Macaca mulatta: one gene and its partners. The protein of the gene in region 1 interacts with the protein of each later gene in a pairwise test. Links are inferred from orthologs where the notes say so. Each region holds a gene or a part of one and is shown in the gene's direction. Other genes may lie near its edges. The genes, in order: LNX2, NMD3, TUBB, MYLIP, SCLY, PTCD3 and PHYKPL.

Region 1 (4,177 bases):
CGGGGGTTCTGTCCCATAGCGCGAGGCGTGGAGACGAAGCAGGAAGGAAGGACAGACCGACGGAAGGCGCGGAGGACGGAAGGAGGGAGGAGGAGCCGCAGCGGCGCGGCAGGGCCCAGCCGCGGGGCGGGGCATCAGGCTCCGCCCCCAGGCTCCGCCCCGACGCGGGGTGGGCGGTGGCTCGCGGCCCGGCGGCTCACCTGGGCGACCAGGCGAGGCCACTCACGGCGGGAGGGGCAGGGGGTGGGGCCAGCGCCGCTTTACCCCGAGGCCCAGACAGGCCTGCGGGCGCGCCAGCTCAACCTTGGTACCTTTCCCCAGGTGATGGTGAAGGAGCGGGGCTTTACCTGCCGCCCCCAAATCACTTCCCTTCCCAGTGGCAAGGGCGAAAGAGGCCCGACTCCCCCACTGGGGCGGTGTTGACCCAGGATGGCCCTTCCTGGGACCCCGGCCTCCTGGGCCTTCTGTGGGACGACAGGCTTAGGCTCTAGTCGGTCAACACACCTTGAAGAGGGAGGAGGTCACGTGCAAGATGAGTCACGACAGAATACGAGGGTTGAAGGCGGTATTTGTCTCACCGGGGACCTTGCAGTTGCATTCTCAACTGGGTCAAATAAAGGGCAAGAAAGAAATGTCTTTCTCTTTTGGGGGAGTGAGAGTTTGGGAAAAAACTGTTTCCCACCTCATCCTTTCCGTCCTAGGATTCCTTCTATCCCCCAGAGCGCGTCCTCTCCGGCTGTGGACTTCCTTTCCCTTTACCCGCTGTGGCTCTTCAAACCTCTTCACCTGCGGAACCCGCCCTCACCTTTGTTCCCAGGTGCCCAGCCCCCGCCTCGGCAACCTTCGCCACCCAGACTCGCTCTCCGCCCAGCTCCCTGTCCCGGCCCCGGCCACGCTCCCTCAGGTGCGCTTCCTCTCGAATAGGCCCTTCTCCCCTAGCCGCCGGCCCCGACCCTGCCCCACTCCAGCTGTCCAGCTGTCCTGCGCAACTACGTTTCTGCTTCCCTGCGCCACCTGTTCTCCTAGCCTCCCCCCACCCCGCCCCGCGATTCCTCTGGATGTTCACTCCTTCCCGAGCAGTGCCACTCCTGGCAGCGGCCCGGGGTGCGCACAGGCACCTAGCCCCCGGGGCTTCCGCAGGGGAATCAGGCGGGCGGCGGGGACAGCCCGGGGCGGGTGGGGGAGGCGGGCGGCGAGGGCGGAGTGGTCTCACTCTAACCCAGGAGTGACGGGCCAATTCTGGCCCGCCTCCCGAGCTCTCGGATAGGTGGAGCCGCCCTCTGGTCCGCCCACCTCCCGCCCTGTGCTACCTCCGATTGGCCCGGCTGCGGGTTGGGCCGCTCGGCCTTAGCGCTGGCCCCCGGGAAGGCAGCAGGGGCGGTTGAGAAGTGAAGTCTTGGCCGGAGTTTGCTTCTTGCCAGGAAATCCGCGGTGGCGGCGGCGGCAATTCTCGGCGGAGCGGAGCCGGGCAGGCTCTCCGCTCCCTCAGCGGGCCGCGGAGAGCGGGAGCTGGTGGCCGTGCGCGGCCCGGGCAGCCGCGCTTTCCCAGTGAGTAACTTTGTCCTGCCCGCCTCGCTGCGCGCCCTCTCCCCGGCTGCGGGCAGCCGCCTCAGGTGCGGGCGTCGGCTGGGTGTGGAGGAGCGCCGCGCCCCGGGAGGCGGCCGGAGCGGCGCCGCTGCTCGCCCCGGAGCTTTGGTCGTCCGCGGCTGTCTTTGCTCGCCCGGGCTGCGGGGCTGGCGTGGACTCCGGTGTGGGGCTGGTCGGGGAGGGAGAGTCGGCGCCCGGTGCCCGCCGCCTGTAGGAGCCCTGGAGGCGGGCGGCCTCCGGCTGTTAGCATTTGCTGGTTCCGGCCACCGCGGTGCAGATCTTGGCGTCGTTTGCTTCTTAAGGGAAGGGAGAGGTGGGGTGAGTGTTTAAATTTCCTGTGTGTGTGTGTGTGGTGTCGGCAATGCGAGTGGCACTAGCTGCCTTTGTCGGATTTTGTTCCTCTGCAAAGGGATAGGGAGAGATCGTTCCCTCCGCCCTAGCCTGTTGCCTGTGAATTCTCACCTTTCTCTTTAGGCTGGAGAGGGTGGGAGATAGATTTGACATATTCCAGTGGGTAATTTAAAAATGCGAATCTTGATTTGGAACCAGTTGCACACAAAGCATCGTTCAGGAAATACATCACTCGCTTTTCAAAGCTTTATGCCACGTTTTAAACAAGGACTTTTGACTCATGTAGTGTTTCTTCTAGTATTTCAGTTTACGTTGAGTTTATGAATCCAGACGTTCGTTTGTGCCAGGAGCTAAAGTACACTTATGCATGGACTTTGCTGTATTTATTATCCTTTTTAAAATCACAGAAATCAGAAACAAAGTTGAGTGAAGAGCGGTGGCGGTGCAGGAGGAGGAACACTTGTGAGCTCCAGCTTATTGGAACTGCCTTTAAGAATTTCACATTCTTGCGGCAATAGTACTTACTTGTAAATTGGCCTTCTTCCCAGGACAGATTTTGATATTTCTTTTGCATGTACTTCGATGCAGCACTGATGAAGTTGGATCTCAGTAGATCAATTTTATTTACTTTGCTAGATTTGATTCCCACCCCCACACCTCTTTAGAAAATGGACTTTGGCAGGTAAAGAAGGAAGCGGGAATCTGGTATCCTTTTTGGCTTGTCAAAGCTTTGTTGAGCCATGAATAACAAAGTTTTGGCTTTTTAAGCTTGTCCAAGTCCCACATGTGAGTTTTCCCATGGGGTAAAAGTAGGCCAAATGAGAACCAAAGTAGAATAACATTACTTTTAATTCGGCCCACTTGTGTGTTACATTCTCCATATATCTTGTTTCTCTCGTCTTCTCATCAGCTTTGACATTTTTTCATTATTTATTCATTTAGCCACTGATAAAGTACCTACTGCATGCCAGCCATTGATGGCAGGGGTTAGTTCTTGCCCAGAAGTTTTCTCATTTGGAAACTGATCCATGCTTTTATCCCGCTAGTTACCCTGAAGTAATTTGAACTTAGGGAGCATTTCTGCCTGGAGACCTGTAAGAATAGGTGTTACGTAGGCACCTAGCCTTCAGATTGATTTGGGATATCGTACATTGTAGGCACGGAGCACGCAGGCCACTTAAAAATAAATGCATGTATCTTTGGGCTGTTGTATTATGAGCTTTGCATATGGGCTTGTCTGGCCGAAGGACCCAGTGTCCAAGGTGGAAGTAGTAGTCAGGGACATGTATGGTATTCATTTCAGAGCACTTGGCACCTTTTCTTGCTTACATTGGTCACTAAAATATTTACTGAATTGACTTGAACAGAAAAATGAAGGATTTTGTATACCAGATTAAGAAATTTGGACTTTATCCAGTCAGTGATACTGAGCTGCTAATTTTAAGCAGGAGAATGTCATGATAACATTCGCGTTCCAGAAAGATATCTGCAGCATCTGGAGGATGGTGGGCTTCCAGATGGGCGGTATTGAGACTAAGTTGGAGGCTGTTATAATGGAGGGGTTAAGTGCTCAGGGATTCTCTATTCAGATTACCTGGGGTGGAATCAGGCTCTGTCATACACTGAAACCTCTTTGTTCCTTAGGTTTTTCATCTCAGAGTTTGGGGGATAGAACTTGAAAAAACATGTATATTACTTAGAATAGTGATTGCCACATAGTAAGGACTTAGTAAATGCTAGTGTGCTGGCAGTGGAAGGAGAAACGACATGGCATTTAACGCGTATGACTAGGAGGCTGGACCAGGTAAGTGACTAGATAGGCTTAAGGAGGGGAAGGATGAATCCTGGGTTGTTTGATTTCAGGCATTGATTGACATGTACTGGGTAAGCTGGCTGTGGAATTAAAACGGGTCAAATTCTAATTCTATTACTTACCCTTAGAATTACTATCCTGACAGAACTTTGATTTCCTAATATTTGGGAAATGATTGTCATACCTGTTCAGTAGGGTTTGAGAAATTACACATGTAATGCCTTTGGCAGGGTACCTAGCACATTCCAAGTGCATAGATGATGACGTTAATGAGCTAGTGGAATGTTGGAGGATATGAGAAGCAGCAGTTAAAAACAATTAATGGTAGAGGTGTGGAAGGGGAGATAAGTTCAGTTTTGGACCAATCTAAGGAGGTGCTAAATGGATGGTTGAGAGATCCATGATGCAGTTGTTGGATAGTTGTGT
Region 2 (4,122 bases), on another chromosome or scaffold:
TGGGGGAGCCTTTGAGCCAGGATGAGCCAGGAAAGGAATTTCACAAGGTAATGTCATCAGTTAAGGCAGGAACAGGCCATTTTCACTTATTTTGTGATTCTTCAGTTACTTCAGGCCATCTGGATGTATACGTGCGGGTCACAGGGGATATGATGGCTTAGCTTGGGCTCAGAGGCCTGACATTTTCTCCTAGAGCCTCCAGAGTCAGCCCTCACCATCTGTTTAGACCTGTAGCTTCCAAAACTGGAAGAGAACAAATTTGTGTTTTTTTAAGCCAACTAAATCACTGATAACTTGTTAGAGCAGCACTAGGAAACTAATTCAGGCTTAATCTTTACCGAGTCCTGGGTAGAAGCAAAGGAAGACTATTTCCTGTGAGACCTGCCAGTTGGTTTGAATGGTTTGGGAGTACGTGTGGTTGGGAGGAAGACAGGATATGTGGAGATCAGATCCTGAAAGGTCTTCTTTCCACGCAAAGAAACTGGAAATAATGCTGAAGGTAAGCAGAGGCCACTGAAGGATTAAAAGCAGGGGAGTGTGACAGAATCAGAACTGCATTTCAGAAGGATGGATTGGAGTCTACAAGTAGGGAGAGCAGAGGAGAGGCTACTTAAGTATTCTGGGCAAGAAATGATGAGAGGCTTCCTCTGATCACCCTCTACAAAACGCCCTTGCTTATTCCTTGACATTTGGGATGAGGGGATTTAGAAAAAGAAAATGGTTGTACTCTTCAAATATTTGAAAGGCTGTCATGAGACCGATTAGACATGGTCTGTGCTGCTCCAAGTTTGAGGGATAAATCAGTCATACAAAGATATTAAGTGTACTATCCGGAATCATATAATTAATAATTTATCTAAAAATCGCATAGACTTCTTCACAGATAATTATGCTTTACATTTCATTCTTTCAACAAATAATCATTTCAGCAGTTAGGGTGTGGCAGACATCAGGCCTGTATAGGATGGTGAACCAGACAAAGGCGCCGGCCTGGATGGAGTTTCTCTGCCTGAGGTACTGTTTACAGATAACTTTTATATAACATAATCGTTTAATCGAGAAGCAAGCTCACAGTCGGGATAGCTGAAAAGAGACTAATATACGGGCGAGGTTGGTTTGGAGTGAACTCCGGCCTGGGAAAATCGAGACGATAACTGAAAAGCAGTCGCTGAAGGCGAAGGAGCCCCCCCGGACTGCTCTCCGCGCGCTTTCCCAGCCTCCCGGCAGCTCCCCTCACCCTTCCGCCCGTGGGTGCCGCCCCTTTCCCCGCCCCCACCCGCCCCTTTCCACACGTCACTCAGGCCGCGGGATTTCGAGCATTTCTCTCGCGAGATCCTCTCTGTGGCGGAGACACACGGGTGGGCAGCTGACAGGACTGCCAGGTTCTGTTTTGTTGCGGGTTTTCAGCAAATCCTGTGCTGGTCCGGAGAGGCGAAGTAGGTTCCGGGGTCCGAGACCCGTGCTGTCGGCACGGGCCCCTGAGTAGCGGGCGGGGCGGGCTCCCTGGGCTCGGGTCGTGCTCAGTCCGCGTGAGCGCCGCGTGCCCAGAACCCGTATGCGGTCGCTCCCCGGGGTTGGGGGTCGGCGTGGGTGACCCGCGGGCGCGGGGACTTCATCCGGGTACTCCTGCGGCGTAGGTCTGAGGCGCGGCGTGCCGGTGCGGTCCGTGGGCTGGTGGAGAGCGGGAGGGCCCGGGCGTCCGCAATCCCGAGCGGTCTGACCTCGCCCTAGGTCTTCCAGGGTTTGGAGGCCAGGTGAGATGGAGGTCAGCGGCAGAGCTGGGTGGACCGAGGGTCTTGCAGCTGGGAAACTCAGTAAATCCCGTGGTCTTCATCTTAAAGTTCTTTTTTCCGAACTTACCCAGTGGAGTTGGCTTTCCTTCTTTCCTGCTTTTTCGAAGTTCCGTGAATATGTTAATTATTCGGAGAGACAAGAGGAAGACGTAAAAAGAGGAGACCAGACAAAGTGATTTAAATCCCAACATTCTCATTTTATTTTATTTTTTTAAACTTAAGGCGTAGAGAACGATGGAATATATGACAGAATCCACCGACCGCAGCCCTGGACACATGTGAGTGCCACACTTCTTCCTTCCCCCTTGCATGTGAAAATCTTCAATGAGCCCTGGAAACTCACTATGGGGAACGCTTGAGGGTGGGTGGGAAGGAGCTTCTATTGTCATAAATGGGAAAAAATAAAAGTCTTATTTCTGTAGAAAATCGAGTTAGTTTCTGGTTATAAAGCTTGTTCTAGTAAATACATGCTCTAAGAGGGTTAAAATATTTTTCATACATTCTTTTATATCGGCCCTGTCCAATATGTAGCCATTAGCTACGTGTGGCTATTTAAATTTACCTTTTACTTACATTTCCTTACTTTTTTTTTTCTGAGACGGAATCTCACTCTGTTGCAGTAGTGTGATCTCGGCTCATTGCAACCTCCGCCTCCCGAGTTCAAGCAATTCCCTGCCTCAGCCTCCCGAGTAGCTGGGAATAACTTACTGTTTTTTATTGGAGATTATAGTGTCGTAATTTTTAAATTTTGAACATCTTAAAACAATTATCAATTTTTAATTTCTTGCATTTAAGTTCAAATTAACTTTTTTTTTTTTTTTTTTTTGCTGATAAATAGGTTTAATGATACAGTGCTCTTGAAAGAGATGACTACAGAGACTTTTAAACGAGAATCTTGGAATCGTTCAGCACAGACCAATCAGCTAAATCTAAAATAAATTGGCATCTTACCACAACTACCCTGTAAACATTGCAGTGCTTCTGTCTAAAATGACCCTAATCTCACAGGAAAACAGTAACTGTGGAGAAACTAGCTTTGTGGCCAAAAGTAAATACCAAAGGAAAAATAGGAATTCAGTGATTAGCGAAAGCAGAAACTTTGGCCTCCTTCCCTGTGATGCTTTACTCTTCCCTTGTCCCTCAGTTAGCTCTGGGTTTGAATAAGCCATCTGAAAATGTCTTTGGAGCGCAGCATAGTGCTGATCTTCCTTGTTCTGTCAGTAGCTTTTAACAGACACTTGTCGAAGGGCTCAGAGCCCTTCACAGAACCCTTTGTTGGAATGGGTTGTTTGACCATTATACTTCTGTGCCGGACAACTAGCACTTCTGAAAGAGCCTGGTAAGCTCTGTCAGGAACTGCTTGCTTTCCAAGTGGTACCGCTGGCTCCACTGTTAACATAAGCCCCAAGCAGTTTAAGTTGGAAGTTTCCTAAATTAATTTAAATGGAATAAAATTAAATACTTGGTTGCTCATTTGTACTAGCCATGTTGCCACATGTGGCTCCTGGTGGCTACCATTGGACATGGAAAATTATAGAACTTTTATTTTGGACAATGTTCTACATTAGGGGTTCTCAGACTTTTTGTGCCCCCAGTACATCTCGAATTATGATAGTTTGTCATTTATACTGAGTCTCTAGATGTTGATAGACTTCCCATCCTGTTAAAAAAAAAATTCTGCTTTGCGTAAATGTTTATATTTTAGGAGTCCTTATACTTTTTTTTTAAATTGCCTTTGGAGTATGTTGTTGTCTAATTCTGTTAGAAATGATTTAGATATTAGTTTCTACTGGTGTAATCCAGAGATATACTTGAAGAAATATTCATTAGCGATAAGTAGACAGCTGTAATCTTTTAATGTAGTGACACCATACATTTCACCTGTATACCCTGAATAAATACATTTTTAAAGGCTTAGTATTTAGAGATGAGGTGGTTGAATTAAAAAGAGACAAACTGATCTTACATATTCTTGATATAGGATTTTCTTTTTGGTTTTTGCCATTGACACACTATTGCCTTGTTAATTGATTCTTACTTGGTTTTCCAATTTTCAATAAGGGATGATGAATAACAGTGCTTCTCAAATTTTTCCCAAGTTTGTTATTACACTTGCGGTTAGGAAGTTTATCTGTTTATTTGTAAAAGTTAATGTGAATGTTTGTGTCTGCATAGAAAATGTTTGGAAGGATATATACAAATTGTTAATAAATGTTACCTTTATGGATAGTGTTGGTTGGTTGTGGTAAAGAGCACGTTCACGTTTTTTAATTGTATTTAAGTATTTAAAATTAAAATTAGTGCAAGATTTGTATTCATCAATATACCG
Region 3 (4,004 bases), on another chromosome or scaffold:
CTGGAGGACAGGGAACTAATTATTAATCATTTTGTAACCATAGTTCCTAATTTGGTGGATACATAGTAACTATCAAATAAGTGAATAAATCTCTGGGAAGAAGCTGGTGGACTCTGTCTTGAGCCCATCCAATTTTCCCCCATCAATTTCCCCTCTCTCCTTTTTCAATACTGGGTATCTTGCAGAGTTGCAATGGCGGCCACCTGGTCAGTGAAATAAGCGAATTGAAAAACCACTGACTTCATTAACATGTCTAAAAAGGTAGGCTGAAAAAACTGAAAATCTATCAGGCATCTCATTCCATAGTTCCCTGTTTGACAAGAAGATCAAGGTGTCTTCAAAGTCTGCCCTAAGGCCCAGATCTCCTACGTGGATGGAGACTTCTAGTTTCACAAATCCCCGATGTCGGTTTCTCTAAACTATTTTATTCTTTGAACATACTCTCCAGACAACATCTCTATCCTGAAAAGCCCTTGCTGCAATTTTGTTTCTCTTTCAAAACAATGACTCGAAAATTTCCAAGGAAATAGCAAGAGGGCGATTCCCTTCTTGAAGTATTTGAGAGAGCAGAAGCTTACTTAAGTTCATGACTTGGGTCACCAAAGGCCAGAGGTAGCAGAGCACGGTGCCACACTCCTCCCCATTTTTCGCTGAGCTAAGCAATTCTGTCTTCCCTAGAGGTACTGCAGCTGGGAGCTTTTAGGGCGTACCTCACCACCCAACTTCTGGAACCCCAGACTTCTCAATCCCTGCATCCCCGAGAACTGCTCACTTTTTGTACAAAAACCTCAGGCACAGAGGAAAGGAATCTTGCGCAAGGTCGTTTTTCATTTACAAAACAAAAACCCAACAAAAACCAAACCGGTACCCACCCATTCGTCACTTCATTTTGCACCGTGAACAACAATAGGGGACTACAACTCCCAAAGAGGACTGCGCTCGTCCACTGGCTCAGAGGCCAATGGACGCCTGGTACATGACCGGCATCGACTAATCAGGGCCAGGCTCGATGAGGCTTTGTCTCCCGACCGCGCGCGGGGCCGATTCTCCCGCCTCCCAGCCCCGGCGCACGCGCGCCCCGCCCAGCCTGCCTTCCCTCCGCGCCCTCCCCTCTCCTTTCTCCCTCTCAGAACCTTCCTGCCGCCGCGTTCGCACCTCGCTGCTCCAGCGTCTGGGGCGCGTTCCAACCTTCCAGCCTGCGACCTGCAGAGAAAAAAAATTACTTATTTTCTTGCCCCATACATACCTTGAGGCGAGCAAAAAAAATTAATTTTAACCATGAGGGAAATCGTGCACATCCAGGCCGGTCAGTGTGGCAACCAGATCGGTGCCAAGGTAAGAATTTTACACCTCTTTTATTTCTTTTTAGAAGGAAAAATCCAGGTAAGTTATGAAAAAATGGTTGTGGGGCATTTGCACTCTCCATTCTTAATCAAGCTTTGCCCCTCCCAAGTTTGTTACATTTATATATATAATAACTAGCATTTGCTTTTGGAAAACTGGGAATCATTTTTCTTGGCAGGCACATTTTGGAGAAACTAGTAAAAGGGCTCTTCGGGTTTCGGGGGCGGGAAGACCAAGGACATATGTTACTTAAAAGGGCTTCTAACGGTCCAAGAACCGGGCAGGGAGAGAGATGCGGAAACAGTCGGAGACAAAGCGGGGCGAGGTTTTGCCCATGTGCATCCCGCCCAGCCCCCCCTGCGGGGTTCTTAGGGCCAAACGGGAGCGGGAAGGGGTGAGGCTGTCGGGCGGCTGCAGAGAGCTCCAGTGCAAAGGTCGGGGGGCGATGCGCCAGGGTGGGCTGCGCTGGGCGCTACCATTCACAAAAGATCAGGGACCCCAGCGCGCCCGCGACCCCGGAGGGCCGGTCCTGTAGTTGTTCCGGGGTGGAAGGAGAATAAGAACGGGATTAATTTTTCTTGCTTTCATGGCACCTAAGCGAGACCTCTTTAGGGCGTGAACTGATATGTCGAGAAAATGGGGGTGTGTGGTTTTCTTTAACGAGTCCTTCAGGACTTAATGGGAGAGAAAGAATGCTTTAAATCAAGGGGGAGAAATCTAGCAAAGGAATAAAATTCCGAGGCCAAGGGTTTTTTTTTTTTTTTTTTTTGCGCGCGGTTACAGTGTAGCGGGGGAGGGGCGGGAGGAAGTGCGGGTGCTACGTTGTAGCAGAAGGGCGGGGCCCTGCGGGGCGGGGCCAGGGCGCCGCTGGCGCGCGGGGACAATGCGGCGTTGCCCGCCGGGAGGGGCGCGCTACCCTGGGCCCCGCCCCTCGCGCGGAATTCTTGCCCCTGGCCCCGCCCACGTGCGAAGTCCTTTGTCGGCGGCTCGACCTGCGCGTGCGCCGCAGTCACGTGGAGGGTGGGGGGTGGTCGACTGCGGCAGCAGCTCTTCTAGTGCCCCGAGCCTTTTGTGCGCCGCGCGGTGGGGCGGTGCCCAGCTCGGGGGAAGAACAGCGGCGCTTATCCAAGTATGGTCGACCTCCATCCGCCCACCGAGCACTTGGGACCCGCTGCACATAATCCCGAGCCGGGAAAGCTGTGGCTTTCCCGGGGGAGCGAGTGTCTAGGGGAAGGGTGTGGCAGGCACACGGGATGCCAGGCCCTAGAACAACGGCCTGAGCGCGTGTGGGATTAAAATGGGAGATGTGGGGCTGAGGCGGGCTAATTGGGATCGCTCCCGCTCAGGGGTTTGAGACCATCCTGGGCAACAAAGCGAGACCCCTCCCCCCGGCCACATCTCTTCAAAAAAAAAAAAAAAAAAATTAACTGGGTGTGGTGGCGCGCGTCTGTGGTCCCAGCTATTCGAGAGGCTGAGATGGGAGGATCGGTTGAGCCTGGGAGTTTCAGGCTGTAGTGATCCGTGATTGCACCACTGCACTGCAGGCTGGGCAACAGAGGAAGACCCTGTCTTAAAAATTAAAAGAAGCTGGGCGCGGTGGCTCACGCCTGTAATCCCAGCACTTTAGGAGGCCGAGGTGGGCGGATCAAGAGATCTAGACCATCCTGGTCAACATGGTGAAACCCGTCTCTACTAAAAATACAAAAAATTAGCTGGGCGTGGTGGCGCGCGCCTGTAGTCCCAGCTACTCCGGAGGCTGAGGCAGGAGAATCGCTTGAACCCGGGAAGCAGAGGTTGCAGTGAGCCGAGATAGCGCCATTGCACTCCAGCCTGGCGACAGAGCGAGACTCCGTCTCAAAAAAAAAAAAGAAAAAAGTTAAGAAAAAGATGAAATAAAATGGTAGTTGGGGACGTAGTTGACTGGGACTTGACTTGTGGTCTCGTTGCTCCTGCCCGGCAGTTCTGGGAGGTGATCAGTGATGAACATGGCATCGACCCCACCGGCACCTACCACGGGGACAGCGACCTGCAGCTGGACCGCATCTCCGTGTACTACAATGAAGCCACAGGTAAGGGCAAGAGCCCGGGCAGCTCAGGTTCCCCTTCCCTGTCTCCCACTTCTCTGGGGTCTCTTTCCATTCCTGGCACGCCTTATCCCCTTTCGGTGAATCTATCATTTTCTCCCTTTTGTGAACCACCGTCGGGGCCAAAGACGTCTGCTGCCACCTGGTGGCAGGACCTGGAACAAGTCTTGGGTCCCTGCTGTCTTCCATTCCCAGTGTATCTATAAACCTTTCCCTCTGCCAGATCTCACAGCTCTTAACTTTATTCTTTGTAGGTGGCAAATATGTTCCTCGTGCCATCCTGGTGGATCTAGAACCTGGGACCATGGACTCTGTTCGCTCAGGTCCTTTTGGCCAGATCTTTAGACCAGACAACTTTGTATTTGGTAAGTTATACAGATGATATTAGCAGATGATATACTATCGTGTTCAACTTATTTGGGTGCAAGGACACAGCAAAAGTTAGGAGATGATTGTTGTACTGGAGTGCTAAGAACTGTATTCTGAAATCTAATGGAGGGTAGAGGTAGGGTAGAGGTAGTGCCTGCTGTTGCTGGTACATTATGGGGCAGTGGGGGGAGAATACATCACAGTGAA
Region 4 (3,500 bases), on another chromosome or scaffold:
GGTAAGCCAAGACTTAACTTTTTTTGACCTAAGCATGTGTATACATCTGTAGCTCTCAACATAATAGAAAGTAGGAAGGGATTTACTTGACAGTCAGCTCTTAGGAATGAAATATTTCATTTTGGTATGTATATTAATTTTATTCAGGCCTGAATAACCATTTTAAATGTTACTCAAGGTATACAATGTGGCAGAGTTAACATTTTCCAAATAACCCATTCACTGCCATAAAAAACTTGTTTTCACCTCTAGACATGCATGTGTACACACCCAGCACTTGCTCCTACACTTCCCTCCACATATGCCCAACTGCTTTTCACTGTATCTTTATGACGAGGCAGCATCATGGTGATGTGATAGCCCCAGAGGAAGCGTCTGATTTTTCTCCTAGGTCATGAGCAAATGGGGATCCCACAAAAGCACACACATGGTGAATAATCAGTCCTTCTAGATCTGCTTTCTTTTCTCTTCCCGTCTCTTAGGATAGCTTATCCTGTGGTGCAGATGGCCACCCAGTCAGGAAAGAATGTATATTTGACGGTCACCAAGGAGTCTGGGAACAGCATTGTGCTCTTGTTTAAAATGATCAGCACCAGGGCGGCCAGCGGGCTCTACAGAGCGATAACAGAGACGCACGCGTTCTACAGGCACGTATCTCATGTGCTTGGTCACCTCAGCACCGCAGTTCTAAGGTTTTTAGGTGACAGCCAGGTTTCTACAGTTCCTTGGATTGTTGTGTCAATGAGTCTAGTACAGAATTTAGGAAATTCTGAACATTTTGTTTCTGCAGTAGCAGTGGAGTCCTTGTTAATGTAGTCTTGTTTTACCCACAGAAGGTGCATGTGTGTGAGCCACACAAACACATTCTCTGCTTGCCTCCTACCATATTTTCTTATGCCGTTAATCTAGACACAAAGTGTGTTAGGAGATTTCTACGCCTATTTAATCAATACAACAACCCTAAGAGGTTAAGTATTATTACCCTAATGTTAAAGATGAGGGAACTGGGAGAATAAATATTTACTTAGTCTAGCACTCAGGTTCAAAGCCAAGTTTGACTACCCTAAAGGTAACCCTGAGTGGGTGGGCCTGCTCCACTGCCCAGGAGAAGGATAGCACAGGTCATCTTTTCTTTCTGGCAGAGCTGCTATCCTGAATCCTCACTGTGTACGAAAGGATTTTTTAATAACAATATTGATCCCCTCATTTCAGAGGGTGCTTTGAAGCCAAGTTGTGATTGGACTCAGGTATTTGGACAATTAAAGTTCAGAAATTTAAGTCGTAGGCATCTTTAAACTTTATTTATGTTAAAATAGATATACAACTTGTGAAACAGAATGGAATATTTGTAGACATTTCTAACATAAAAGCCAAGACTTCAAGGCAGATGCCCTTTTTCTTCCATAAGCAACTTGACTCGGTAGCATCTGTCCTGGGGAGGAGGTATGTGCTCACTGCCCTCTGTATTTACTGCTTTATGGAAACCATAACGTTAGGAGACGTTAGGGAAACAGGTGTAATCACTGAGGATATCTGCCAGATGTAAAACTGGAAGGACTTACTTTCATACGTGCAGACAAGAATATGAAACATCTGCTTGTTCTTGTTGACAACAGCTAATAAGGGGGCTGCTGGGCTCTTTGGTGTTAAAGTAGATGTTCAATCTTGCCTTGCAGGTGTGACACAGTGACCAGCGCCGTCATGATGCAGTATAGCCGTGACTTGAAGGGCCACTTGGCATCTCTGTTTCTGAATGAAAACATTAACCTTGGCAAGAAATATGTCTTTGATATTAAAAGAACATCAAAGGAGGTGTATGACCATGCCAGGAGGGCTCTGTACAATGCTGGCGTTGTGGACCTCGTTTCAAGAAGCAACCAGAGCCCTTCACACTCGCCTCTGAAGTCCTCAGAAAGCAGCATGAACTGCAGCAGCTGTGAGGGCCTCAGCTGCCAGCAGACCCGGGCGCTGCAGGAGAAGCTGCGCAAGCTGAAGGAAGCCATGCTGTGCATGGTGTGCTGCGAGGAGGAGATCAACTCCACCTTCTGTCCCTGTGGCCATACTGTGTGCTGTGAGAGCTGCGCCACCCAGCTACAGGTAGGGGAGTCAGCTGCCCACTTTTGCCTGCAGCCTCACCTATACCTCCTGTTAATGGGGAGTAGGAGCCAGGTACTGGCTTGCTCGTGCACCGACGGGAAATGCCCATCTTCACCCGGAAACGGTCTTTGTACTTGGTGACCTAAAAGGTATCGACCTTTAGAAACATTTTAGATGAGTGTACTATTTTCAACAACATAATTACTCCAAATTATACAGTGTTTTCAAGTTCTGAAAATGAGGCTCAGATTCCTGGGTAATGTACCTAGTTAGCAGCTGACCTGAGGACTAGAATCCAGGCCTCCTGAGGCCTGGCCCAGGGCTGCTTCCTCTATTTCAAGTTGCCTCCCTTTTTCTGACACTTAGGAGGATGGTCTTTATTACTTAAGATATTTGGGAAAGAGGCCAGGCGCGGTGGCTCAAGCCTGTAATCCCAGCACTTTGGGAGGCCGAGACGGGCAGATCACGAGGTCAGGAGATCGAGACCATCCTGGCTAACCCGGTGAAACCCCGTCTCTACTAAAAAATACAAAAAAAAACTAGCCGGGCGAGGTGGCGGTTGCCTGTAGTCCCAGCTACTGGAGAGGCTGAGGCAGGAGAATGGCGTAAACTCGGGAGGCGGAGCTTGCAGTGAGCTGAGATCCGGCCACTGCACTGCAGCCTGGATGACAGAGCGAGACTCCGTCTCAAAAAAAAAAAAAAAAAAAAAAAAAAAGATATTTGGGAAAGAATACTTCTCAATTATCCATGGATGGGTTGTTGACTCTGTGATATTAGTGATTAATTTCCTTTTATGATTGCAAATGCCTCAAGGGCATATGGGTTGACTGTTATTTATTAGCAAGTCAAACTAATTTTAATATTAACAACAATAAAAAGAGAACTCACATATAGTTTTCTTCCTTTCTTGCATGAAGAAGAATTTTAAATTTCCTCTTATAATAAGTTTTTTCAATTTGTTTTTATTTCTCAGGTGTTTGCCAAATGTCACTATGGTTTTATGTAAAACTGATCCTAAATAATACTTAGTCCTTCAGAAGCTGCTAATTTCAGAGCTAATAAGACCAAACAACCCCTGTGTCCTTTCCCCAGAAGCAGTCATAGGCTTGTCTTTTTCTGCCCACCCAGTCCAACTCTCATCCGTAAGTCTCTCCTGAGGGCTGATGATGGGCACGGACTTTCTGAGAAGTCAGCCAGGAATGTGGAGCTGCCACCTACGGCGAGGAGCAGAGCCACCCTCCCTGGCCATGCGGGCATCAGCCCAGAAATGTTGGCCTGACTCAGTCAGCTGAGCTAAGGACACACAATTTCAAGAAGGGTCTGCTGCATTGCTGCCTGAAGTGTTCTAGTCTACTCACGTAGAGACCACACTCTGCACAGAAAGACGCCTTCAGTAATTGCTT
Region 5 (3,500 bases), on another chromosome or scaffold:
TTTGTTTGAGACAGAGTCTCACTCCGTTGCCCAGGCAGTGGCGTGATCTCGGCTCACAGCAACCTCCACCTCCCAGGTTCAAGCGATTTTCCTGCCCCAGCCTCCCTAGTAGGGCTAATTTTTGCATTTTTAGTACAGATGGAGTTTCACCATGTGGGCCAGGCTGGTCTCAAACTCCTAACCTCAAGTGATCCACCTGCCTTGACCTCCCAAAGTGCTAGGATTATAGGCGTGAGCCACTGTGCCCAGCCGGCTGTAGTTTTAAACAGAGCTGCGGGGCAGGGGGTCACAAGAGGACTAAGTTGGAACAAAGATCTAAAAAAGTAAGGTGGAGGCAGGGCATGTAGTTTTTCTGGGCAAAGAAACGGAAAGTGCAAGGTCTGGGGCCAAAGTTCACCTGCCCCAGGGAGAAGCCCAGGTCACCACGAACCCCACAGGCCATCGCAAAAACGGGTATGGGGAAATAAGGCGAAACTCTGATGAAGTTAAAACAGCAAACAGGAAAGTTCCCTTGGGAATATGCAGCTGTTCCCCTCCTTCCATAAGAAAGAGGCCAACGATCTGCCCTTCATAGCTGTCAGATGGGTAATCTGGGCCCTACCAAGGGGTAGAAAGAGTGTTTGTTATTAGAGGCAGGATCTGGCTGTGTTGCCCAGGCTGGAGTGCAGTGGCTATTCATAGGCGCCATCATAGCTCACTGCCTCAAACTTCTGGCCTGAAGAGTTCATTCCGCCTCAGCCTCCCCCGTGGCTGGGACTACAGGCACGATCCACTGTGCCTTGCTAGAAAGAAATTTTGAAAACCTAAATGAAAATCCAAGTCCTATCAATTATAAAAGAAATTGGCAAAAACTAGATTATTAGAAATTGTGCATACGTTTTCCACAAGTAGTGCAGATCCTGGATATTCCCAAGTGCAGCTTGTGGGTGTCTGCAGTGCTTATGCAGGAGACCGCCGTGCCCTTGACATTATTTGCTCCTGCTGATGGGATAGACACAGAGCAGCCGTATTTCCCATGTGCTGTCTCCTTTTCCTTAAGGGGTGTCTTTGCTTTCTTTCCTTCAGGAAAGTTTATATGGACTATAATGCAACCACTCCCCTGGAGCCAGAAGTTATCCAGGCCATGACCGAGGCCATGTGGGAAGCCTGGGGCAATCCCAGCAGCCTGTATCCAGCAGGTAATTCTAGAAGATGCACATGTTCACAGATGGGAGATAATGGGGATGGGACGCTCTTAGAGAAATTGCACACCCACATGTGATGGCTTTGTTTTGAATAGATTTCTGTTAGCTGCAAATCTTTAGCTGTAATTTTTGATTGTTTCTTTTCTGAGAAGTCCCAATTTATAAGCTGAGCCTTGCTGCTACGGTAGTCTTTAACCTTTAATGTTTAATCTTTAACATGCTGTCCTGTCACCCTTTCCCCGATGAGAAAGGTGTCCACTGAGAGTTCCTTGCAGTGGCTGTCAGTGCCTGTTGAGCACTGCACAGATCTAGCTAAGTCAATCCTTACAGAATTCGCAAAATATGTCTTTTAGGTCATCAGGATAACGTACAATCCTGGCCCTTTTAAAAAATGAAAATTACTTTTTCTTTTTTTTTTTTTTTTTGAGACGGAGTCTGGCTCTGTCACCCAGGCTGGAGTGCAGTGGCGCGATCTCGGCTCACTGCAAGCTCCGCCTCCCGGGTTTACGCCATTCTCCTGCCTCAGCCTCCCGAGTAGCTGGGACTACAGGCGCCCGCCACCTCGCCCGGCTAGTTTTTTGTATTTTTTAGTAGAGACGGGGTTTCACCGTGTTAGCCAGGATGGTCTCAATCTCCTGACCTCGTGATCCACCCGTCTCGGCCTCCCAAAGTGCTGGGATTACAGGCTTGAGCCACCGTGCCCGGCCGAAAATTACTTTTTCATTAATCAGTTATAAATATTCTTATATGTTTCCAATTTATTCTTATTGTAATGTAGAGCATTAAATTGGAGGTTTTGGAGAATAATTTGCTTCAAGTCAGTTATATGGCAGAGTTACATTCTGTTTTTCAGATAGATGAGCAAACTCAAGTCTTACCTTTCTTATTTAATGTTTATTAGGGATAATTAAGATAAACTATGTTAACTGTGGATTATGATGAACTAAAATAACTTCAAACAGAATATTGCCAGGCCATATGGTTTAGTAACACTTGTGTACAACTTTACAGGTTTAATATGTTCTCATATTCAGTTGCTGTTAAGTTTCACAGCAACTTAATAACAAAGCCCTCAGCTTAGATACTAGTCATTCATTAACTTATTTGTTGGCTTATTTGTTGGTCTATTCTGGCTAATCTTCTGCACATTGCCTTGTATCCAGTCTCTCCTTTAGTAAAATTGAACTTTCTGACATATTAAACTTGAAAATACGGAGAATAACTAAATGCCAATGACAGGCATTGTCTCATGAAAAAGTCTAGGAATCGCTCTCACAGAGAAATCATGTTCTGGACCTGAATGAAGCCTGGCAGTGGCTTTTAGGTTTCCTTGACAGCCTTTGTTTCCATGAATTAAGAACCATAAACTCAGAAGTGTTGCAGTTTACTTTCTGTTGCTACTCAGATAGAAATGCAAAAGAAAAAAAATCAATTTATAGAGTGGTTTAATTATTTTCACAGTATTATTATTTAAACATTATTTAATAATATTTAAATATTATTATTATTTTGAGACTGAGTCTTGCTCTCACCCAGGCTGGAGTGCAGTGGCACTATCTCAGGTCTCGGGTCACTGCAACGTCCGCCTCCTGGGTTCAAGCGATTCTTCTGCCTCAGCCTCCCAAGTAGCTGGGACTAGAGGCACGCGCCACCATGCCCGGCTAATTTTTGTATTTTTAGTAGAGACGGGGTTTCACCATATTGGCCAGGCTAGTCTTGAACTCCTGACCTCGTGATCCACCCACCTCGGCCTCCCACAGTGCTGGGATTACAGATGTGAGCCACCACGCCCGGCCTAAATATTATTATCTAAAGTCTTTGAGGGAAATTTATTTTTATTTGTTTATTTTTTTTTGAACTCTGAACTTTTTATTGGCCTCCTGCTCCCCAAAGGGTACCCTGCTTCTGCTGGCTTAATGCCTCAGAACTTTGGTGTCGTTGGTCTCAGACACCACTTTGCCATCCACTATCCGGCAGGTGGTGGTCTTTTGGATGGTTTGCGTGGAGTTGCTGCTGTCCAAGGCATCACCAAGATTGAATTCCTCGCCATCTTCCAGCAGGCAGCGGTCGGTGGCGATCTCAGCTTCCAGCTTGACCTTGATGTTCAGCAGGGCCTCATACTCCTGGGCCTGTCGCTGTCCCTCTGTCCGGGTCTGTGCCAGCTCTGACTCCAGGTGCAGCAGGATCCCATTGAGCTGCTCCATCTGTAGGGCGTAGCGGGCCTCCACCTCCCTCAGGCTGTTCTCCAAGCTGGCCTTCAGATTTCTCATGGAGTCCAGGTCGATCTGCAAGGACTGGAATGTACGTCTCAGCTCT
Region 6 (3,500 bases), on another chromosome or scaffold:
GGTTGCACAGAACGTGAAACCAAATCTGCAGACTTTTAATACCATTCTGAAATGTCTCCGAAGATTTCATGTGATTGCAAGATTGCCAGCCTTACAGCTTTTACGTGAAATGAAAGCCATTGGAATAGGTGAGGATGCGCCCTTGATTCCTCTGAAGACAGAGCCTGTGCCAGCCAGAGGTTTCAGGTCAACATAAGCAAAGACCTTTAAATTCTTCTTCTGCTTACATAATATGCTGGAAATTTTGTTTCCATGTTTGGCACATTAAATTAAATGTACTGTACTTATGGTGGGAGTGTCTTTATCATCTTAGTGTTCATTAGTATTTTAGGTACTTTGTTTATGGTTCTGTTGAATCTGAGGAGAAGTGATTGCTTTGAGTTAGCTAGTTTTAAATTCATGACATTTTTCCAGCATAATTAGGTATTTGAACCTAAGTGTGTGCTAGTGTATTGTATATTTTTCATTAGTTACTTTATTGAAAGTTGCTTTGGGAATCAATTCACTTAAATATATTTTACTGTTCTCAGTGAAGAATGTGACTAATAAGTATTTGGACTTTCAAAAAGTGATTAAGTCTTTATGATAGTTTTTCACCTTTACATTAATGAGTTGGAAAATATCTTTGTTCAAAGGAATAGAAATGCATCTATTGCTTAAATATTAACATTAATATGTTTTAAATTCAGTGTGTCTCAGTAAACTATATTTTGGATTGCTGTGTGTTTACCTCATTGTTTATTTTTTCTATTCACCTGGTAATTCGAGAACCCTCGCTTGCAACATATCACCATATTATTCAGCTGTTTTATCAGCCTGGTATGTATGGCCTTAAACTGTGTTAATTTATATAGAAAATTGACCAGCTTTCTTGAATTTATGTGATTAATTGTTGCAGGTTATCTTCTCTGCATATGAATTAAGAAAAGATAATTTGTAAATTAACCTGTACAGCCTGAGCAGAAAGTTGTGGCTTTTTTTTTAGAGATAGGATCTTGCTCATTGCAGCCTTGAACTCCTGGGCTCAAGCAGTCCTCCCTCCTTAGCCTCCTGAGTAGTTGGGATTACAGATGCCTACCAGCATGCCCAGCTGATTTTTTTTATTGGGCAGGGTCTTACTACCTAAAATTATTCTTGAGGTTAGCAATCTTGTTTATGGTATGAAACTTGAGCTGGAGGGGAGAGGGTTATGGAATGTACTGTCAGTGATGTTGTACAAACAGGAATGGTTAGAATGTATTTTGGCTGAAGTCCCTTTTGTTCTCTGGAGCTATGCTATTTAATACCGTAGCCACTAGCCACATGTGGCCAGTTAATTAAAATTAAGTAAAATAATAAATTATTTTGTCACGTTAGTGCTCAGTAGCCATGTGTCTAGTGGCTACCATGTTCAGTGATGCAGGTTCAGAACATTTCCATCTTTGCCAAAAGTTTGTGGACGTTGCTGCTTCAGAGGAAGGTAAACTTATTGTGAAGCCTTTTGGGAGGACCTCAAGGCTCCATTCGTTGTCCACTTTTAGGTCAGTTCCAGTGGGAGCTCTGCTCTGTAGATGGACTTTGGAGAGAGACACACCTGAACTGAGATGTCGGCTCTATCGTTTATTTACCAGCTATGTCAAAGTGACTGGATGCCTACCTGAGGAATAGCAGCAGGGTGTGGTAGTTAAATGAGTTCCACACCGTGTCTGCTACTGTGTTTGGAAGGCACATATGAGACACTCAGAATCTTTTAGTTCTTATCCATTTATCCCCAGCCTAAGAAATAACCCTTGAGTTCAGAATTGACAGTTCTAGTCATTCTTTCTCGTGATAGACTATAAAAATTACAGAAGAGAACTTGATTCTCTCTGGTTTGGAGGACTAATTTTGTAAAATCCATATCATCACCTGTATAGGCAAATTTTATCTTTAGGAAAAGGAACCAAACAGTTAATTGACTGTACCTTGGAAACAGATAAAGTTTCCATAATTGTGTCCCCTAAAATTTTACTCAACCTTGGTGAGATTGTGATGGAGCTAGTATTTCTGACCCCAAAGTATATTTCTTTCCTCTGTAACTCTCATCACTGGTTCAATTGCTAATCAAAGTCAGATGTACTTACATTTCCTAAGTAACAGCCAGGACTGGGGGATGGGGAATCTGGGGGAGCTATGTTGGTTTGTCTTATGTATATAAATTGCCTGTCTGCAATAATAATTTTGGCTTACGCCTGTAATCCCAGCAATTTAGGAAGCCGAGACAGGAGGATTGCTTGAGCCCAGGAGTTTGAAAACAACCTGGACAACACAGAGAGACCTGCATGTCTACTAAACATGAAAAAAGTAGCTGGACATGGTGGCGCACCCCTGTAGTCCCAGCTACTCAGGAGTGTGAGGCGGGAGGATTGCTTGTGGCCAGGAGGTGGAAACTGTAGTAAGCTGCATTTGTCCCACTGCACTCCAGCCTAGGTGACAGAGCAAGACCCTGTCTCAATAATAATAATAATTTCTAGGAATTGACCCAAAAGAGAAAGCCTAAATTAGCCAAGAAACAATACATTGAAAAGAGAATATTATGTAACTGATAAAATTAAGAATGTTAGCAAAGGGAAACATGCTTGAGCAAATTGTGAAACTATCTGCACTGTCATTACAACTCTGCTACCACGAACACACAGAACAGGTAGGGAACAGAGTGTAGAGAAATATTTGACTGGGAATATTGCAGATGATTTTCTGACCTATTAGTGCTCAGCTCACATTATTTTTAAGCACTGCCCTGTCCATTCTAGTTTACTTTTTCTTGACCTCATTCTGATTATATTTAAAGGGAACACAAATGATTACTAGCAAAAAACATTTTTGGTTGGGCGCAGTGGCTCGTGCCTGTAGTCCCAGCATTTGGGAGGCTGAGGCGGGCAGATCATGAGATCAGGAGTTCAAGACCAGGCTGACCAACATGGGGAAACCCTGTCTCTACTAAAATTACAAAAAATTAGCCAGGCGTGGTGGCAGAGGCCTGTAGTCCCAGCTGCTCGGGAGGCTGAGGCAGGAGACTCGGTTGAACCCGGGAAGCAGAGGTTGCAGTGAGCCGAGATTGTGCCATTGCACTCCAGCCAGGGCAACAGTGCATCACTCCATCTCAAAAAAAAAAAAAAAAAAAGTTTTTCTAAGTATGCTGGTTTGGTGAGGGAGTGTGTGTTACTGTCTGCCTCCTACTCCAGTAAGTCAGGCTTCATGTGAAGATCCTAAAGAAAGGGGAAGTCTCAGTGGAGCACATGAATAGAGACCTGTGATTATTCCAGATTTTACAGAGAATTGCTCTCTGCAGGGTGTAGTGGTTCCTTTAGCAAGCATTGGCCTCCACCCAGCTCTATGCGAGGACTTAGGCTGGAGGTGAAGGAAGGAGAAATGTGTCCCTTTGTACTAGGTACTGTGAGGTTGGTGGTGGTAAAGGAAGTGGATTAAACACATTTGCTTTCTTGTTCTGCAGGAAACCCTTCAAATAGATCATCCTTCAT
Region 7 (3,500 bases), on another chromosome or scaffold:
CCTTCCTTTCACCTGCCCAAGGCGGGACTCTAATCTTCCCCACCTTTCTGATGGTGGGTCATAAAACTCTCATTCCAGAGAGGGTCCTACCCCATGTCCTGGGAGAAGGAATGCTGCTGTCATGAAGCTTCCATAAAAACTAAGGGGACTAGATTCAGAGAGCTTCCAGATAGCTGAACATACACAGGTTCCTGAAGGGTGGTGCGCCCAGGGTGGGCACGGGAAGCTCCATGCCCTTCCTTCATATCTCCCCCTATGCATCTCTTCATCTGTATCTTTTATAATATCCTTTATAACAAACCAGTAAATGTATTTCCCTCAGTTTTGTGAGCCACTGCAGCAAATTAATTGAACCTACAGAGGGAATTGTGGGAACCTCAACTTGAAGCCAGTTGGTCAGAAGTTCCAAAGGGGGGCTGAGTGCGGTGGCTCCCGCCCGTAATCCCAGCACTTTGGGAAGCCGAGGCAGGAGAATTAGGAGTGTGAGACCAGCCTAGCCAACATGGTGAAACCCCATCTCTACTAAAAATACAAAAAGTCAACTGGGCATAGTGGTGGGCGCCTGTAATCCCAGCTACTCAGGAGGCTGAGGCAGGAGAATCCCATGAGCCTGGGAGGCAGAGGCTGCAATGAGCCAACATCAGCCGCTGCACTCTAGCCCGGGCAACAGAGTGAGACTCTGTCTCAAAAAAAAAAATTTCCAAAGGTGGCCACCACGGTGGCTCATGCCTATAATTCCAGTACTTTGAGGTTGAGGTGGGAGGAATGCTTGAGCCCCCAGTCTGGGCAATATAGTGAGACCCCATCTCTACAAAAAAAGAAAATTAGTTCCAGAGGCCGACTTGCTACTGGTGCCCAGGGGGCTGTGGGGCAGTCTTGGGCACTGAGCCCTCATGCTGTGGGATCTGATGCTGCCTCCACGTAGAGTGTGTTGGAATTGAACTGGAGGACACCCAGCTGGTGTTGCTGCAATCCGATTGCTTGCCTGCTGGCAGGAAGAAATCCTTACATATTTTTTGGAGTCACAGAAGTCTTCTGTGTTGATTGTCGTAGTGTGAAAGCAGAGGAAAAACAATGGTTTGAGTTTTTTCCAAACAAGTTTCATGACACATACGAGAATGTAAATTCCAGGAGAGCCAAGAGGAGAGCCAAGGCCGTGTGTGTTTTACCTTTTTTTTTTTTTTGAGGCAGAGTCTCACTGTCTCCCAGGCTGGAGTGCAGTGGCGTGATCTCAGCTCACTGCAAGCTCTGCCTCCCAGGTTCATGCCATTCTCCTGCCTCAGCCTCCTGAGTAGCTGGGACTACAGGCGCCCGCCACCATGCCACATTAGTTTTTTGTATTTTTAGCAGAGACGGGGTTTCACCATGTTAGCCAGGATGGTCTCGATCTCCTGACCTCGTGATCCGCCCACCTCGGCCTCCCAAAGTGCTGGGATTATAGGCATGAGCCACCGCCCCTGGCCTGTTTTACCTACTCTTTTTGCCCCCAGCTTCTAGTACATAGGAGGCATTTGATGTATACCAAACAAATAAGCAAGTGACTGACTAGTTGATGTCCTGAGAATCTTCTTGCTGCTAGAAGGGTCCTCTTGCCCTCAGCATTTCTCTCTGGGAAGCTCTTGGACCACTGTCTCAGTCATGCCCACCTTTTCGGTCATAGGTCAGAAGCCAATGACCTGGCCCTGAGGCTGGCTCGCCACTACACGGGACACCAGGACGTGGTGGTATTAGACCAGTAAGTGCAACTCACAGCCCTACCATTTCCAGAAGCCTGGCGCACAGGCTGCTTGGGGATCTGTGCGACTCACTCCGGGTGCCTTAGGCAGGGAGGATAAGGGGCCTGGGCTACTGAAGACAAGCGTGGCAGGCAGAGGACCAGGCCTGAGACCCCCCGGAGGCTCTGTCACCCTGGGCCACCATTCTGGGAAGGCAGCTCTGGGGAGCAGAGTGCGCTTTGTAAGGGAGTCAAAGGTGGTCCCACAACATTTTGCATGTTCAAACTGCCACAGCAGTAGCTCCCATGAATTGAGTGTGTGATGTGCACAAAGCTGAGGCTGACAGTATCAACACATTTAAGATTCATTATAAACCAGAAAGAGGAACTCCCACCCCATTTCACAGCAGAGAAAACAACCCCAAGAGGTTAAATGATGAGCTGCTGTCACATAGCCAGTCAGCAGTCTTGCAAGAAGTGTTGCTGACTCCAAAGCCCGTGCTCTTTCCCAAGTTCCCAAGAACCTGGGGGCTCTGTCAGGAAAGTTGGCCTCCCCTGTGTGTCTTCAAGGGTGGGGAGACCATGGTCAGACTGGGCCAGGGAGTAGGAGCTGCCCGGACCCGAGCCTACCCTCCCTTCTCCTCCCCAGTGCGTATCACGGCCACCTGAGCTCCCTGATTGACATCAGTCCCTACAAGTTCCGCAACCTGGATGGCCAGAAGGAGTGGGTCCACGTGGTATGCACTGCCCAACTCAACAACAGGTCGGTGCCTGTCCCCAAGCCCAGATAACGTGGCGCTGTCACTCCCCACAGGCACCTCTCCCAGACACCTACCGGGGCCCCTACCGGGAGGACCACCCCAACCCAGCCGTGGCCTATGCCAACGAGGTGAAACGTGTGGTCAGCAGTGCACAGGAGAAGGGCAGGAAGGTAACTATGTCCGCGCCTGTCCAATCCAGCAAACAGTTAATGTCACCTCCATTGTTGTCACCACCACTGTGCTAGATGCTGGGAACCCAGAGAGAAAACCAAACGAGGCCCTGCCCTCCAGGAATCTGGGGTAGGGGCAGTTCGGGCTCAGCAGAGGGTCTGAGTGCACTAGCATGGGCATGATAGGCAGCCAGAGCCTGAGCAGGCCTTGGGGAATGTCAAGGGGGGTCCTTGGAGGAGGTGCTCCCTGACACAGTAGGGGTCAGCCACTCCAGATGGGGTGGGGAGTAGCAGAGGAAGGGCATCCCGACGGGTGGCTGAGGAACCGTGTGAATGTGTGGCCAGGAGCTGAGCCTGGAGAGGCAGGCAGGGTCCACATGCCAGAGGGCACCAGAACTAGGCTGAGCAGCTGCAGTTCTGCCCTGGAGGCCCCCGGGAACCACCAGAGTCTTAAGCGGGAGAGCGCTAAGCTCTGGGGCTGGCGCTGCTCTCCAACTCCAGGGCTATGTGGGGGATAGATCTGAATGGGGTAGCTTGAGGTCAGGTGACCACGAAGTGGCCAGTAGACCCCAAGTGAGCTGTGGGGAGGCCTGACAGGGGCAGTAGAGTGGAGATGGAATGGAGGTGCAGACGTCGGAGAGAGAGGTGTGTTACCCACGGTGATAACAGAGGGAAGACTGTTGGCGACAGGTGAGGGCTCTCTGAAGGCTTCACTGAAGGAGCGACAGAGCCAGACACAGGAGGTACGACAAAGAAAGGCAGCCTGTGGGGCCGGAAAGGTTATCTGAACCCGACCAGGGAAGCCTTGCCTATGCGTTTCAGGTGCTCCACGACCACTTCTATAAAACCTAAAAA

The links.
Region 2: the proteins of LNX2 (region 1) and NMD3 interact in a two-hybrid assay, tested with the Homo sapiens proteins (3 studies listed by BioGRID and IntAct). The link is inferred for Macaca mulatta from reciprocal best matches to the Homo sapiens genes LNX2 and NMD3.
Region 3: the proteins of LNX2 (region 1) and TUBB interact in a two-hybrid assay, tested with the Homo sapiens proteins (3 studies listed by BioGRID and IntAct). The link is inferred for Macaca mulatta from reciprocal best matches to the Homo sapiens genes LNX2 and TUBB.
Region 4: the proteins of LNX2 (region 1) and MYLIP interact in binary tests that used the Homo sapiens proteins (3 or more experiments, as listed by UniProt). The link is inferred for Macaca mulatta from reciprocal best matches to the Homo sapiens genes LNX2 and MYLIP.
Region 5: the proteins of LNX2 (region 1) and SCLY interact in binary tests that used the Homo sapiens proteins (3 or more experiments, as listed by UniProt). The link is inferred for Macaca mulatta from reciprocal best matches to the Homo sapiens genes LNX2 and SCLY.
Region 6: the proteins of LNX2 (region 1) and PTCD3 interact in binary tests that used the Homo sapiens proteins (3 or more experiments, as listed by UniProt). The link is inferred for Macaca mulatta from reciprocal best matches to the Homo sapiens genes LNX2 and PTCD3.
Region 7: the proteins of LNX2 (region 1) and PHYKPL interact in binary tests that used the Homo sapiens proteins (3 or more experiments, as listed by UniProt). The link is inferred for Macaca mulatta from reciprocal best matches to the Homo sapiens genes LNX2 and PHYKPL.

Annotation. Positions count from the first base shown.
Region 1 is NC_133422.1:7,657,353-7,661,529, reverse strand, and holds the start of LNX2 (ligand of Numb protein X 2), read left to right. Parts: upstream 1-1,377; 5' UTR 1,378-1,548; exon of another isoform or gene 1,549-4,177.
Region 2 is NC_133407.1:64,393,670-64,397,791, forward strand, and holds the start of NMD3 (60S ribosomal export protein NMD3), read left to right. Parts: upstream 1-1,322; 5' UTR 1,323-1,436; exon of another isoform or gene 1,437-1,754; intron 1,755-2,015; 5' UTR 2,016-2,027; coding exon 2,028-2,071; intron 2,072-4,122. UniProt on the Homo sapiens protein: Acts as an adapter for the XPO1/CRM1-mediated export of the 60S ribosomal subunit.
Region 3 is NC_133409.1:152,322,544-152,326,547, reverse strand, and holds the start of TUBB (tubulin beta chain), read left to right. Parts: upstream 1-1,204; 5' UTR 1,205-1,278; coding exon 1,279-1,335; intron 1,336-2,377; exon of another isoform or gene 2,378-2,661; intron 2,662-3,304; coding exon 3,305-3,413; intron 3,414-3,682; coding exon 3,683-3,793; intron 3,794-4,004. UniProt on the Homo sapiens protein: Tubulin is the major constituent of microtubules, a cylinder consisting of laterally associated linear protofilaments composed of alpha- and beta-tubulin heterodimers.
Region 4 is NC_133409.1:166,968,549-166,972,048, reverse strand, and holds part of MYLIP (E3 ubiquitin-protein ligase MYLIP), read left to right. Parts: coding exon 1-1; intron 2-482; coding exon 483-647; intron 648-1,676; coding exon 1,677-2,097; intron 2,098-3,500. UniProt on the Homo sapiens protein: E3 ubiquitin-protein ligase that mediates ubiquitination and subsequent proteasomal degradation of myosin regulatory light chain (MRLC), LDLR, VLDLR and LRP8. Activity depends on E2 enzymes of the UBE2D family.
Region 5 is NC_133417.1:143,306,919-143,310,418, forward strand, and holds part of SCLY (selenocysteine lyase), read left to right. Parts: intron 1-1,065; coding exon 1,066-1,178; intron 1,179-2,691; exon of another isoform or gene 2,692-3,500. UniProt on the Homo sapiens protein: Catalyzes the decomposition of L-selenocysteine to L-alanine and elemental selenium.
Region 6 is NC_133418.1:38,255,638-38,259,137, reverse strand, and holds part of PTCD3 (small ribosomal subunit protein mS39), read left to right. Parts: coding exon 1-128; intron 129-768; coding exon 769-819; intron 820-3,472; coding exon 3,473-3,500. UniProt on the Homo sapiens protein: Mitochondrial RNA-binding protein that has a role in mitochondrial translation.
Region 7 is NC_133411.1:187,044,986-187,048,485, reverse strand, and holds part of PHYKPL (5-phosphohydroxy-L-lysine phospho-lyase), read left to right. Parts: intron 1-1,660; coding exon 1,661-1,735; intron 1,736-2,363; coding exon 2,364-2,451; intron 2,452-2,528; coding exon 2,529-2,645; intron 2,646-3,500.